3 linked regions of the Notamacropus eugenii genome follow. The protein of the gene in region 3 interacts with the protein of the main gene of each other region in a pairwise test. Links are inferred from orthologs where the notes say so. Each region holds a gene or a part of one and is shown on either strand. Other genes may lie near its edges. The genes, in order: TGOLN2, ENTR1 and AP1M1.

What was found.
Region 1: the proteins of AP1M1 (region 3) and TGOLN2 interact in a two-hybrid assay, tested with the Homo sapiens proteins (2 studies listed by BioGRID). The link is inferred for Notamacropus eugenii from reciprocal best matches to the Homo sapiens genes AP1M1 and TGOLN2.
Region 2: the proteins of AP1M1 (region 3) and ENTR1 interact in binary tests that used the Homo sapiens proteins (3 or more experiments, as listed by UniProt). The two-hybrid records come from large-scale screens. The link is inferred for Notamacropus eugenii from reciprocal best matches to the Homo sapiens genes AP1M1 and ENTR1.

Annotation. Positions count from the first base shown.
Region 1 is NC_092872.1:727,222,667-727,226,979, forward strand, and holds the start of TGOLN2 (trans-Golgi network integral membrane protein 2), read right to left. Parts: upstream 2,864-4,313; 5' UTR 2,724-2,863; exon of another isoform or gene 2,078-2,723; 5' UTR 2,024-2,077; coding exon 1,972-2,023; intron 1,666-1,971; coding exon 338-1,665; intron 1-337. UniProt on the Homo sapiens protein: May be involved in regulating membrane traffic to and from trans-Golgi network.
Region 2 is NC_092872.1:489,739,128-489,743,440, reverse strand, and holds the start of ENTR1 (endosome-associated-trafficking regulator 1), read right to left. Parts: upstream 3,132-4,313; 5' UTR 2,969-3,131; coding exon 2,854-2,968; intron 1,733-2,853; coding exon 1,617-1,732; intron 1,278-1,616; coding exon 867-1,277; intron 444-866; coding exon 370-443; intron 1-369. Other genes in the region: PMPCA (mitochondrial-processing peptidase subunit alpha), read left to right, coding at 4,203-4,267. UniProt on the Homo sapiens protein: Endosome-associated protein that plays a role in membrane receptor sorting, cytokinesis and ciliogenesis. Involved in the endosome-to-plasma membrane trafficking and recycling of SNX27-retromer-dependent cargo proteins, such as GLUT1.
Region 3 is NC_092875.1:59,290,889-59,295,201, reverse strand, and holds the start of AP1M1 (AP-1 complex subunit mu-1), read right to left. Parts: upstream 2,944-4,313; 5' UTR 2,905-2,943; coding exon 2,836-2,904; intron 1-2,835. UniProt on the Homo sapiens protein: Subunit of clathrin-associated adaptor protein complex 1 that plays a role in protein sorting in the trans-Golgi network (TGN) and endosomes.

The sequences.
Region 1 (4,313 bases), on a different chromosome or scaffold from region 3:
TTAATAAAAACATCTCAATCCTATAAAGTTGGAAATACAAATATTAACAATACAAATGTTATTATCACTACAGCACTTACATTTTAACAGATTTTTTAAAAAATTCCATTTTTGCAAGCTGGTTGCTTAATCTTTCTTATTTTAGAATGGAAGCAACAGAAATTTTAAAGGTTCATAATAAGATTTGACACTGGCTCAATAGAGAGAGGTCCATCTGGATATCTACAAGTCAGATCAAAAGAAGATTCAGAGGCCGCAATGTGGACCTAAAATCTCAAGTTGCTGACAGGCACCTACATAATACAAAATCTCCTTCCTAATGAAACTTTGAACTTACCTTCCGCTTGTTGTGATAGGCGATGTACAGGACAGCTACCAGGATGGCCGCTGTGACCAAATATGCAAAAAAGTGGCTGCTCTCTGAATTTTCCTTCATATAAGAGTTGCCATGTTCAATACCACCTGCTGGAGGATTCACAATGGTGTCTGTTTTCGATGACTCTTCTTTAAAAGTTTCACTAGGACTAAATTCAAGAAACTCTTTATCAGAATCAGGGTTTAATTCATGCTTATCTTCTTCTATGTCTGTCTCATGTTTGTTCTCTCCTGTGCTAGCTTCATATTTGCCCTTTCCTGTGTCAGTCCCCTTATTGGCTTCTCCTTGGGTGGGCTGTTTTGCCTGTGGCAGGTTGGTCAGCTTGTCCTCTCCTGTGTCAGTTTCCTGACTGGCTTTTCCTTGGGTGGACTGTTTGGCCTGTGACTGGTCAGTCAGCTTGTCCTCTCCTGTGTCAGTCTCCTGCCTGGCTTTTCCTTGGGTGGACTGTTTGGCCTGTGACTGGTCAGTCAGCTTGTCCTCTCCTGTGTCAGTCTCCTGCCTGGCTTTTCCTTGAGTGGACTGTTTGGCCTGTGACTGGTCAGTCAGCTTGTCCTCTCCTGTGTCAGTCTCCTGCCTGGCTTTTCCTTGAGTGGACTGTTTGGCCTGTGACTGGTCAGTCAGCTTGTCCTCTTCTGTGTCAGTCTCCTGCCTGGCTTTTCCTTGAGTGGACTGTTTGGCCTGTGACTGGTCAGTCAGCTTGTCCTCTTCTGTGTCAGTCTCCTGCCTGGCTTTTCCTTGAGTGGACTGTTTGGCCTGTGACTGGTCAGTCAGCTTGTCCTCTTCTGTGTCAGTCTCCTGCCTGGCTTTTCCTTGAGTGGACTGTTTGGCCTGTGACTGGTCAGTCAGCTTGTCCTCTCCTGTGTCAGTCTCCTGCCTAGCTTTTCCTTGGGTGGACTGTTTGGCCTGTGACGGGTCAGTCAGCTTGTCCTCTCCTGTGTCAGTCTCCTGCCTGGCTTTTCCTTGGGTGGACTGTTTGGCCTGTGACTGCTTGGGCAGCTTGTCCTCTCCTGTGTCAGTCCCCTGACTGGCTTCTCCTTCGTTGACCTTCTCAGCCCCTTCTGGGCTGGTCTGCTTGTCCTTTTCTGGGATGACCGACTTATCTTCTTTGGCATTCTCAGACTTATCTCCAGTGCCAAGTGAGGGGTTGGAAGACCCCTGCATGGCAGCGTCAGGGGCCTGATCATTATGGTCAGCGGCGTTCTGTGTGCTCCCCTCATTCTTGGGGTCCCTGAGGATGCTGGACCCTCCTCCTCCATCCCTTGCATCCTCTTTGACGCTGTCGCCAGCTCCTGAAGAGGGAAAAACGAGAGGTGGGAGTCATGACAGGTGTGTGTGTGTGTGTGGGGGGGGGGGGGCAGGCTGCCTGGGAACGGGGCAGTAAGGTCAGCGGGGAGGGCCGAGCCTGGGCGGAAGGCCAGGACGGAGGGAGGGAGGAGCCCGGAGGGCGCGGTCCGGCCTCAAGCCAGGCCCAGGGCCTGGAGCGGGAAGAGGCGGTTGAGGAGGCCGCAGTTCCGCTCGGGGCCGGGCCCTAGGGGCCGAGCGGGAGCAGCGCCGGGCTGGGCCAGGATTCGGGTAGGGTGCGGTGGGGTACTTACCGGTCGCGATAGAAATAGTCCACAGGACCGCGAACCAGAGCAGGAACCGCATCCTGCGGCAGCCACTGCGCTTCCGCCCACGCACACTCTCGCGAGATCAGCGGCCCTGAGGCAGGATCTTGACGTCACGCCTGGGCGCTCCCGCCTTGCGTCCTGAGCGCGCGAACTCTCCTGCCCCGCCTCCCAAGGGCGTAACTAGGGGTGTGGCCTCCCCGTACCACGCCCCATGACACATTTTAGATTCAGTAAGCCCTTTCTAGGGGCTAGCTAGTTTAAGCCAGTCCTGGACGGCGGGCTTTGAATTCCGTCTCTCATCAGTAGTGGCTAAAGTCACTTCCCCAACCAGTGATCTCTGGACCACTCTCTAGGGCTCTACGTGGCAGGGAGGTACCAACCTGCTTTGATAGAGGGGGCTTCCTGCTCTGCGCCTCTGAACTGGATGTCCAGTAGATAGCTTATGCCCACTCTGTCCAAACCGGAACTCATTATTTCCCCTCCCTAAACCCTCATCCTTTTTCCCTTTCCCTTCACTGTGGAAGGCACTCCCAATCTCCCAGCCTCAGGCCCCACCTCAGGAGACCTCCTGCACACTTCCCTCTCTCACGCCCCATAGCCAAGTTGTGGCCAAGGCCTGTCGATTTCACCTCCAAAGCCTCTCATCAATTTCACCTCTGCATCCTCTCTCTCATTTATTTCACCTCTGCATCCTCTCTAGTCAATTTCACTTCTGCATCCTCTCTCATCAATTTCACCTCTGTAGCCTCTCTCCTAGACTTCACTTCTCCATCCTCTCTCATCAATTTCACTTCTGCATCCTTTCTCCCACATTTCACCTCCTCAGCCTCTCTCCAACACTCTTCTCTAACTTTGCTTCAACCCTGGTGCAGACTCTCTCTTCCTGATACAACAGCCAGCTGCACCTATATAACTTATTAGTTTGAACCAGCTGTGTACTGGGTCATAATGACATTTACTACTCACTGACCAATTATATGTATCCTAGACTTAGACATACATATATTCCCATACATTTATCTTGTCTAACAAGACACTGATGAGAGTAGGCTGGTATTCCTTAGTTAGTCCTGACTGTTAGTTTTCTTAGTGATCTTTCAGGAATAAAACACCACCTCCATGTAGCCCCCTGCTTGGGCTTTTTTCAGATGAACTCTGGGTAAAAATACCTGCATACTAGATACCAAAAGTGCATGTTCGTAACTACTAACCACTAAAAACTCCTGAATCCCACAGTGAATAACCTAGTTAGCATATTTGGCACATGTTTTACTATACAATATCCTATATAAACTAACCACATTCAAACCACAGATTCCCTAAGAACTCTTGCCCACTGAAAAGCATAATAAATCTTTATCTTGACCTCAAGAATGCTTGAGTATGGGAATTCATTCTAGGTGACCTGCCCCTGTACTCGGAGGAGTCTTAGGGGGATTTCAGAACTTCATCCATCCTATTCCCCTTTCTAGCCCTTGTCAGTTCCTCCTTGGTGGCTTAAGCCATCTGGATCCAAGACGAGGATAGGAAGCCAATATCTGATTTGCAAGTACACTCAGCTACCAAGAAGACCTGTTCCTAGAAGGGTGAGAATCAGAGTGTTCACCATGTGGGAAGTAAGAAAGTTCTGTTGTCCACATTCCTAGGTGATAGGGGTTGTGACCTAGCATGGACAGGTTAGAGGTCAGAAACTAATGTGCAAGCCCAAGGAGCTGTGTGAGGAAGGGCCTATCAGAGAGGAGAACCTGAAGTCACATGGCCAGGGGACAGTATCGAGGGAAATCCAAAATTCAGAATTCTATAAGGGTCCTGTCTCATCCTGACCTGGTTGTAGTTCTTTCATGGTCATGCTGGAAGCTACCCATTTCTTCAGGGAAGGAATGTAGGCCTTCCCTACTCTGAACTCCATTTTAAATAAATCTTTCTTGATACCTTTTTTGTGTGTCAAGTTCGTGTCTAACAGCTAGAGTTGAAATTAGGCCAGATTTACAAAGGCTTTGCCTCAGGGCACCATATTTGGTACTTCGATGCCATCTGTGCCAAGAAGACAACAGAGCTTAGCACCTCCTTAGCAAGAATAGTTATCAAAAAGTTATCAATAGTTATCAAAACTACCACAAGGACTGGGGAGAGCTCTAACCTGTTCACCCTGCTTCCCCCAGCACAAGAAAGTCCAATGACTCCTTGTTGGCTTTAGTCAGTCAGTCGGTAAACACTTATGAAGTGCCTAGTATGCTCCAGGCATTATACTAAGCACTGGGGATACAAAAAAGCAAAGATCAATCCCTCATCTCAAGGAGCTGACAATTTTAAATTTAATTTAATTA
Region 2 (4,313 bases), on a different chromosome or scaffold from region 3:
ATAACAGCTGACATGGATGTACAGATTTTAAAGTTTGTAACACACTTTATATACATTCTCATTTGGGCATCCCATTTTACAGAAGAGGAAACTGAGGCTCTGCAAGGTGACCCAGGTAGTAGCAGAGGTGGGATTACAGATCTTGTGCTCTCAACTCCAAAGATAGCCCTTTATCCTCTCTGTCATACTACATCTCACAAAGTAGCTCTCTTATATAACTCAATAAAAAACTAGATGAAGAATTTCACAGGAATTTTTAAACAGAAAGGAGATTTATCAAATGTCACAAAGCTGTTACCCTCTATTTACATAAATCAATCCTTTGGAAAGAGAAATGAAACTCAAATTTCTAGATATAAGTGTACATACATTTCTGTCTGAGATTCAGAGAAGTTCTGAATCTCATTAATTTTTCTTCTTAGCTTAGAGTTTTCTTCTTTAAGCTGCAGAAAAAGAAAATTAAAATGAGAAATTCAAGATTCTAAACTGGTCAACAGCCTGCATACAATTAGTCACAAAATTTCTTATTTATAAAGAAATCTAGGACAGTGGATAAAGATGTTTAGGTTTCTAAGATGTTTTATCCAGCTTGACACAAGTATTCTATTGTACTCACATCTCCTGTACTTGCATTCATTACACAATACTGTTTAAAGCAGCTGCATTCATATCTGTGAGCAACGCCAAAATAACTAACCATGGTAAACAGCAACAAGCTGTAGTAGCACATTAGGGCTGATTGTGTCCTTTGCTCCAAAGCCATAGAGGCCATTAGGAAAGCAAGATCACTAGCTTTTCTCCACGAGAGACTTCCCAAGACTTTTGAGGTTTATCAGGTAGGTGAAGAGCATTCCATCCACACTTACTGCTTCATAGCTTATCTGCAGCGACCGAAAATGCCTATCTCCCAAGTATTCTCCATGAGCAACAAATTCTTTGTTTGTGTTGTTCCCTTGAGATGTAGGAGAAACACCTGAGTCACTATCATTTAAGGTCCATGGAGCAAGAGACTCGATGCCTGACAGTTCGGGTGTGTTGGTAAAAAAGGAAATATATGGATTATGTGGTGATGTGCTAGTAGCAACTCTGGAAGCATGAGTTTGTTCCATGGTAGCTGGCCGGTAAGTCCCACTCCAGTCATCATCTTCATCTTCATCCAGCAAATCTCCAGCACCAGTTGGGTCTTGGAAAAAAGGTTCCTCATAGTCTAAACCATATCCTACAGATTTAGAAGGTGGAGAATTATCTTCAAGTCCTAATGTATGTCTTGTAGATTCCTAACAAAGAAGAAAGTCAAAAGTTACATTGAAGAGTTTCTTTATTAGTCTAGGTTAATAAATATTAGTAATTAGTAATTTTTTACAGTCTTATATTCAATGTATTTTTTCAGCATTACAACAAAATACTTCATTTATAAGAGTTAAGTTGAGAAGAGAGATGGAACACTGGAAGGATAAATCATCTACATGTGACATTATTGTAAAACTTAACTATCATTGATACCAAACACTTCCATGATTAACAATATCCTATGAGAAAATGTAAACCAGTAGTGAAAATTCATTGAGATTTTTTTCTCCCCTTATTGAACTTAAATGGAAATTCCTTTAAGTTACCTTAGTGTAAATTCTAGCATTGGTTGTCTCTTCTTTGGACAGGCCAAGGTTCTTGGTTTTCAGAAATTCTTTAAAGGAAAATGGATTTGCTTCATCCAGATCTTCAGCACTGTCATCTAAAATAAGAAAAGCATATTTCATAAATGCTTTAAAGTGATTCAGATTTACTAGACAGGAATCTTCCTTTTAGTTTTTTTTTTAGAAGCAATATCATCTAATCCAGATTTAGGAACACTAAGCCCCATAGTGACTCAGGATAATTGATTTTAACAAGGTAAGTGCTAAACTGAAGTGAACTGAGGTACAATTAAGACACAAGAAACTTAAGTTACCAGCAACAAGATACCTCTACAAGTAACTCCATTCTAAACTCTTTCATTCTTTTTTCCTTTACCTCAGAAGACTTTACCTGGCAATTGTCTCAAGTTTCCATATCTATTCTGTGACTGGCTTTAGTTTTCTACTTCTTTCAGTCTCCCATACATGTAGTTAACCGCATTATCCTGATTTTCAGCATTTTATGCATTTCTATCAGTTGCTACAAGTCTCCAGTTTTCTTGCTTTCCTCATCCCTCAGCTCCCTCCTACCCCAAATACAAGATCTAACCTTCAACTCTTGGATGCTTCTGCCCCCAAACACTGTTGAAGACTCATTTATTCATCATCCCCACCTGCTTTGTGTTTTCTCACCTCCACACTTTTTGCCCATGTGTTTTTCTTCTCCTCCTTACCTGGGCCTATCCAAATCCTATCCATATTTCAAGGCCCAACTCTAATCTCCTTCCCAGACCTCACCACCTCATAGCAATCTTTCCTTGACATGAATCCCATTCATATATGTTTTTGTCTGAGTTTCAGAGATGTTCTGAATCTCATTAATTTTTCTTCTTTGCTTTTTACTGAGTATCTACTATGTACATAATGCAGTACTAGGTGCTGAAGAGAATAAAACAGAAAATGACACAGTCTCAAGAGTTTAGTTAGGGGAATAAGACAAGTCCAAGTAAAAAGGTAAAGAATGAAACATGTCACCAAGTACTTTAGGATTAGGGCAATGTAAATAATACAGGCAATAAATACTTTTAGATTTTAAGTTCCTTGACAACAGAGACAGCACCTCTCCCAGAGCAGCCTAAGGTAAATATTTGAGTGACAAGTCATAGCTTCAATCCCGAAAGTACTTACAATCTATACACATAAAAGATTAATAATTTAAAAAGATGTCATAAAGCAATACCGGATATCCAAATGGGCAGTTTAAGTGCTCCATCCCTTCTTAAGTTCCATGTAGCATAGGGTACACAAAAGGAACTCAAATGACTAGAATATAAGACACAATTCAATTCGAACATTGAGTACTCCCATTTGAAAGATCCCAATGCACAAGTGTGGTGGGATAAAAAGATAACAAGCCTGGAACGGGAAACTATGAGTTTAAATCACAGCTCTGTCACCAAGTCCTTATGTGCTCCTGTCTTTTCCCATCCTATCACTGAGAGGGGTTGGGTCTAGAATTTAGATTTTTCTATATTCCTTTCTTTAATGGGTGATTCTATGGCCCAGTATGGACAATTAGAGGGTACTGGCTGAATACAGTCCATTACACAGCTCTTGGAATTCTAACGGGGTAAGGCTCTATACAACAGCTTCAGAGGAGGGGCTCCCTGGAGAAGGTGGTGTCTCCAACTAATAGTAACATGGGCAAGACCTCTGCCTCTTCTGGGCCTCATTTCCCCATATGGACAATGGTTGGGACTTTAAAGTCCCTTCCAGGCTGGGTGAGTCTGTGATTCAAGACTCAGATACAAAATTAAGAGACAAAGGGAAATCAGAGTGGTTCAGAGAAACGTCTTTCGGAAAGGTCCTGTTCCTTCTCTACAAAACGGGCAGTCGAGAACACGGTATCTTTAAACTAGTTTGCAACCTTAAGTGACTCCCCCCTCCCCGTCCTCCCTTACGCCGGGGTGAGATTCTCCTATGGATAATCAGAGGCTAGTTAGTCGGGCCTGGAAGGCTCCCCGGAGGCCGAGGAAATCTAAGGAAGCCTCCCTGCAGGAGCGACCCCCACCTGGGCCAGTCTCGGACCTCAACTTCCACTTCTGTACTCGGAGCGGACTGCCTAGAAGATCTCTAGATGCCTAGCGCCTAAGGCAGGGCCGCTACACCGGTGCGGAGGGGAGGGACGGAGGGACGCTCTGCCAGTCTCGGTCGCTAGGTCTCACCGTCCTGGATGATGAGGCTCCGGGCTCGAGACAGCGGGGTGAGCCCCGTGCGGCGGGTGTAGCCAGACATCCCCGCACGGCCTCGATTCTGCCCGTGGACGGGGCCAGAGCTCCACTACCTGGTCTCCATAGGCTCAGGGTGGCTCGTCTAAGCTCAGCTCAGCTCAGCTTGACCTGGCTCCGCCCGGTTCAGCTCGTCTCGGGCCTTCCGGTCTCCTCCCGCCTCCTTCCGCTTCGCCCACCGGGCGCCGGAAGCGCGATCTCTCGCCGCGCGGGCGGAGACTGGCTGCCAGACCGCGGGGGCGTGGCCGGGAGGGGGCGGGGAAGCGGAAGTGACCGCAGAAGCGCTGGGCGGAGGCGCAAGATGGCGGCGGCGGCGGGAGCTACCGTGCTGCGTGGACGGGGCATCTGGGATCGCTCTCGCATGAGGTGAGAGGGGGAAGAGTCGAGGACTGCCTGACGGGCAGAGATGGAG
Region 3 (4,313 bases):
TTAGGTAAAAGAAGTAAGAGTATCTACATTAGATACCTTGGTGGGACCATAATCACTGTCCTCAAAATATCTAAAGATTTTCATATGGAAGAGGCCTCAGACTTATTAGGTGACCCCAAGAGCTAGGTATCTAGAGTCCTAGATTCTGGTCATGCCTCTGTCGCTCCTTCTTCTTCTGTGGTGTTCTGAGCTCCTTCCTCCCTCTGGACTTCTGCTCCTTCATTTGGAAAATGAACAACTTAAACGGACAAGTATGGTGGTGTGATTGTGAGGATTTGCTGACAAGCAAGGAAGGGGAGGGGAGCTATTTTTTAACTTAGGTCTAAGAGTTTTTTCCTAAATGATAGAATTAATGAGTTCACTGACCTAGATTAGAAAGACCCTTTCATCACAACTGATGGCCAGCAGTGAGTACCTGAGAGGAAGTCTGACAATACCTGTTGAATCTACTCATTCAATTTTATTAAACATTTCAAAATGACTACTATATGCTGAAAGGATGTAAGTTTCTTGAGGGAAGAGGCTTTCATTTTTGTCTTTATATTTCCAGTACCTGGAACATAGTTAATACTTTATAAATGTTTGTTGATTGATTACAGGATCTTCTACTGTTCTGCAGAGGAGATTTCTTTTTAATTCGATACAAATCTACATAAGGCGTATAGTAACACTTAAAAGGGCTATAAGAATGTCAGCTATTATTAATAAAAGGCAATTGATAAGAACTCTCCCAAAACTGTTCATTAACAGTATTTAAAAATAACAAAAAAAGTTTTATTTATAATAACAAACTATGTGTCCAATGATTGGCTAGCTGAACAAATAATTCTACATGCATATAATGGAAAATTATTAGGCCATAAAGAGTGTCAAATGTAGAGAATTCAGAGAATTATAAGACTCATATGAAGTGATACAGAGTGAAGGAAGCAGAGACAAAAGAACAACATATGCAATGAGAGTAAATACAATTAACACTGGAGAAGCAGTAAAATTCTGGTAAAAAACAACGGTCAATGTAATACTGCCCAAGTTAAAGGACACACCTTACATTTCTGTTAATAATCAATAAACTTACTTTTCTTCTCCAGGGAATGTACTTTGTGGAGGGATGTGGTTGGGTATTTACTGGGAATTATATGCAGCATCAAAAAAGATGTCAAATAATTTATTTAAGCCAAATTGAAGTACTGTAAGAAAGGTACTAGAACACTAAAAGTCAGAATGAACTAAGACTGTCAAGGAAAGCTAAGGACAACAAAAAAAGATTTTTAAAAGCTATACTGGAGAAAAGAGTTAAGAAGTATTCAATGTAGATGGGACAATGATAATGAATGGAGAGAAGACAATTATTCAACTAGGACCTTACTTCTGTTTCTGTGTTAAGGAGAATGGTCTTTGGACTGGAAAGGACAGAACAAATGGAGAGACACTGAAAGAGTGGTTAGCTGCCCTTGATGAGTTCAAGTGACCAGGCCCAGGTAAATTACATTCCAGGCTAATGAAAGAACTTTTGAATGCTATTTCTGAGCCACTATCAGTCATCTTTAAAGGATCAGGCAGAAGAAGAGGGGTGTTGGGGCTAGAGAAAGGCAAATGTCTCTTATTTTCATAAAAGGGAAAAGAGTAGAATATGAAACTCATTGTCCAATAAGCTTGACTTTGACTCCTAGAAAATTCTAGAATGTGTCACTGAAAGGGGTCTATCTTCAGGTGGTGAACATTTAGAAAAGAAAGTAGTAATCACAAAGTGTCACACTTTCACCAGAAACAGGTCATGCTAGACTAACTTCATTTCCTCTTTTGATAGGGTAGATCAGGGGACTGTGATAGATACAGTTTACTTCTCTGCATTTGATGAAGACTCTCATGCTATTTTTGAAGGCAAGATGGAGAAGTATGGGCTTGGCAGTAACACAATTAGAAGGATTTGGAACTGGCTGAATGGCCATACCCAAAGCACAGTAAAAGACTCTCTACTGCAGTGTCCATTGAATCTGTGCTTGGCTTTGTAATATTGGACATTTTCATCAATAATCTGGAAAACGGTGCACATGGCACACTTATGAAATAAGCACAAAGCACAAAGCTAGGAGAGACAGCCAATAGGTTAAATGGCAGAGCTAGGAATCCAAAAAAATACTTGACAGTCTAAGACACTGGGCTAAATTTAATAAGATGAAATTTAACAGATTAATGCAAAGTCTTCCACTTGGGTTTAAAAAGGTCAGCTACTCAAGCTGGAAGAGGCACGGCTAAGCAACAGTTCATATGAAAAAGATCTTGTGGTTTTAGTGGGCTGCAAGCTGAATATATGAGTCAACAGGGTGACAGGACAGCCGAATGATGTTAAACTAAGAAGCACGGGTATTCAGAAAGGGGGAGCAGATAGATATTCTCTGCTGAGTTTACTCTGTTTTGGTCAGACCATATTTGGAGTACTGTTTGATTTTGCACGCCATGTTTTAAGAAGGGCATTAACAAGCTGGAAAATGCCCCAGGGAGGGGGAAAAAGAACTGTGAAGGACCTTGAATGCACATCAGGGGATGACTGGTTGGAGGAACAAGGGCTCTTTAGCCTGGAGAAGAGCTTTAGGAGGGATAGGACGGTTGTCTTCTACTATCTGAATGGCAGTTACTTGGGAAGAAATACTTGTTCTGTTTAGACCCAGGAAAGAGACCTAAGGACAACGTGGAAGCTGCAAAGAAGCCATTTCAGTCTGGACCCTAACGACGAGAGCTGGCCCGAAGCGCGGCGGAACCCACTAAGACGGAGACGGCTGGAAGATCGGCGGCCTGGGACGCCAGGTCAGCACCGGGGGGGACGGCACTCACCACACAGCCCAGGGCCTCCACAGCCCGGCACCACCCTACTTTTTCACGCGTTCTTCCCCCCTCCACCATCGGAGCTCCGGTCGGACAGGGCCCCTCGCCCTGCGGCGGCACCGTGGCTTCTGCCCTCTCATCCCTATGGCCTGAGGGCCCAGTCAGGCGCCTTCGCTCTGTGCGTCTCTAAGGCACTGAACGTGGACCTTGGCACCATTACCACCAGGGCATTTTCTCTCTCTCCTAGCCCTGCCCGGCGCCCTCCTCCAGAGGAGCGCGCTGGGGCGAGAAGGGCGCCGGCTGGGTCGTGGGAGGCCCTGGGTTCAAATGCCATCGGATGCTCCGCGTCTGAACCGTGACGCCCCTTCCAGCTCGACGTCTGGGGTCCCACGGCAGAGCTGGCACTGCCTCTTGCCCATCTTCGGTATCCCCAGAGTTTAGCCCAGGGCCTGGCACACTGTAAAGTGCTCGTGGATGGCATGGGCTGCCCCGGGGCTGGGGCTGCCACCAGGACAGGCAAGGCGGCGGTCAAACACTGACAGGGTGACAGGGACCGCGAGCGGGTGGGGGAAGTCCCCGCCCCTGCCTTGGGGAGGGGCCGTTACCAGGCAACGCGGAGGGGGGAAGCGGCGCGGACCGAGGCCAGGTTTCCCTACCTTGCCCTTTAGGTCTAGCACATACACGGCGCTGGCCGACATGGCGGCGGCGGCGGCAGCGGCGGGGAGGGGGCGAGGTGGAGGGCGAGGCGCGGCAGCAAGAGAGGCGGCGGCACCGGGGCGAGCAGGCGGGCGCACCCGACCCGCGGCACCTCACTTCCACTTCCGCCCTGGAACCGTTATGTCCGGCTTGGGAAACGGCCTTTGGCCTCTGGCGCACGCGCAGGGGAGGGAGGGCATGGGCGTCCGCTCCGTGCGCGCGCCGCCGAGGCGCAGGCGCACTGAGCTCCGATGAAGCCATGCGTCCTCCCAGAGCTCAGGCGGCAGCGAGCTCAGGCGGCGGCCCAGCCCTGGGGCCGAGGGGGAAACCTCGAGAGGGAGGAGATGGAGGAGACGGAGAGTGACGGAGCCTGCCAGGCCCCGCAGATAGTCATAATATCCGTAACGGTGGCGCCGGAGGGCAGCTTAGAACTAGAACGTCAGAGCCGGGAGGGCCCCTAGAACAGGGAACGTCAGAGTTAGGAGGGGCCCCTGAACTGAGAACGTCAGGCCCGGAGGGGCCCCTGGGGCAGGGAACATCTGGGCCGGGAGGGGCCCCTGGGGCAGGGAACATCTGGGCCGGGAGGGGTCCCTGGGGCAGGGAACGTCAGACCCGGAGGGGCCCCTAGAACAGAGAACGTCAGGCCCGGAGGGGCCCCTGAGGCAGGGAACATCTGGGCCGGGAGGGGTCCCTGGGGCAGGGAACATCTGGGCCGGGAGGGGCCCCTAGAACAAGGCCCCTGGAGCATAGAATGGGGGAGCTAAGAGGGCCCTTAGAACAGATTCCAAGAG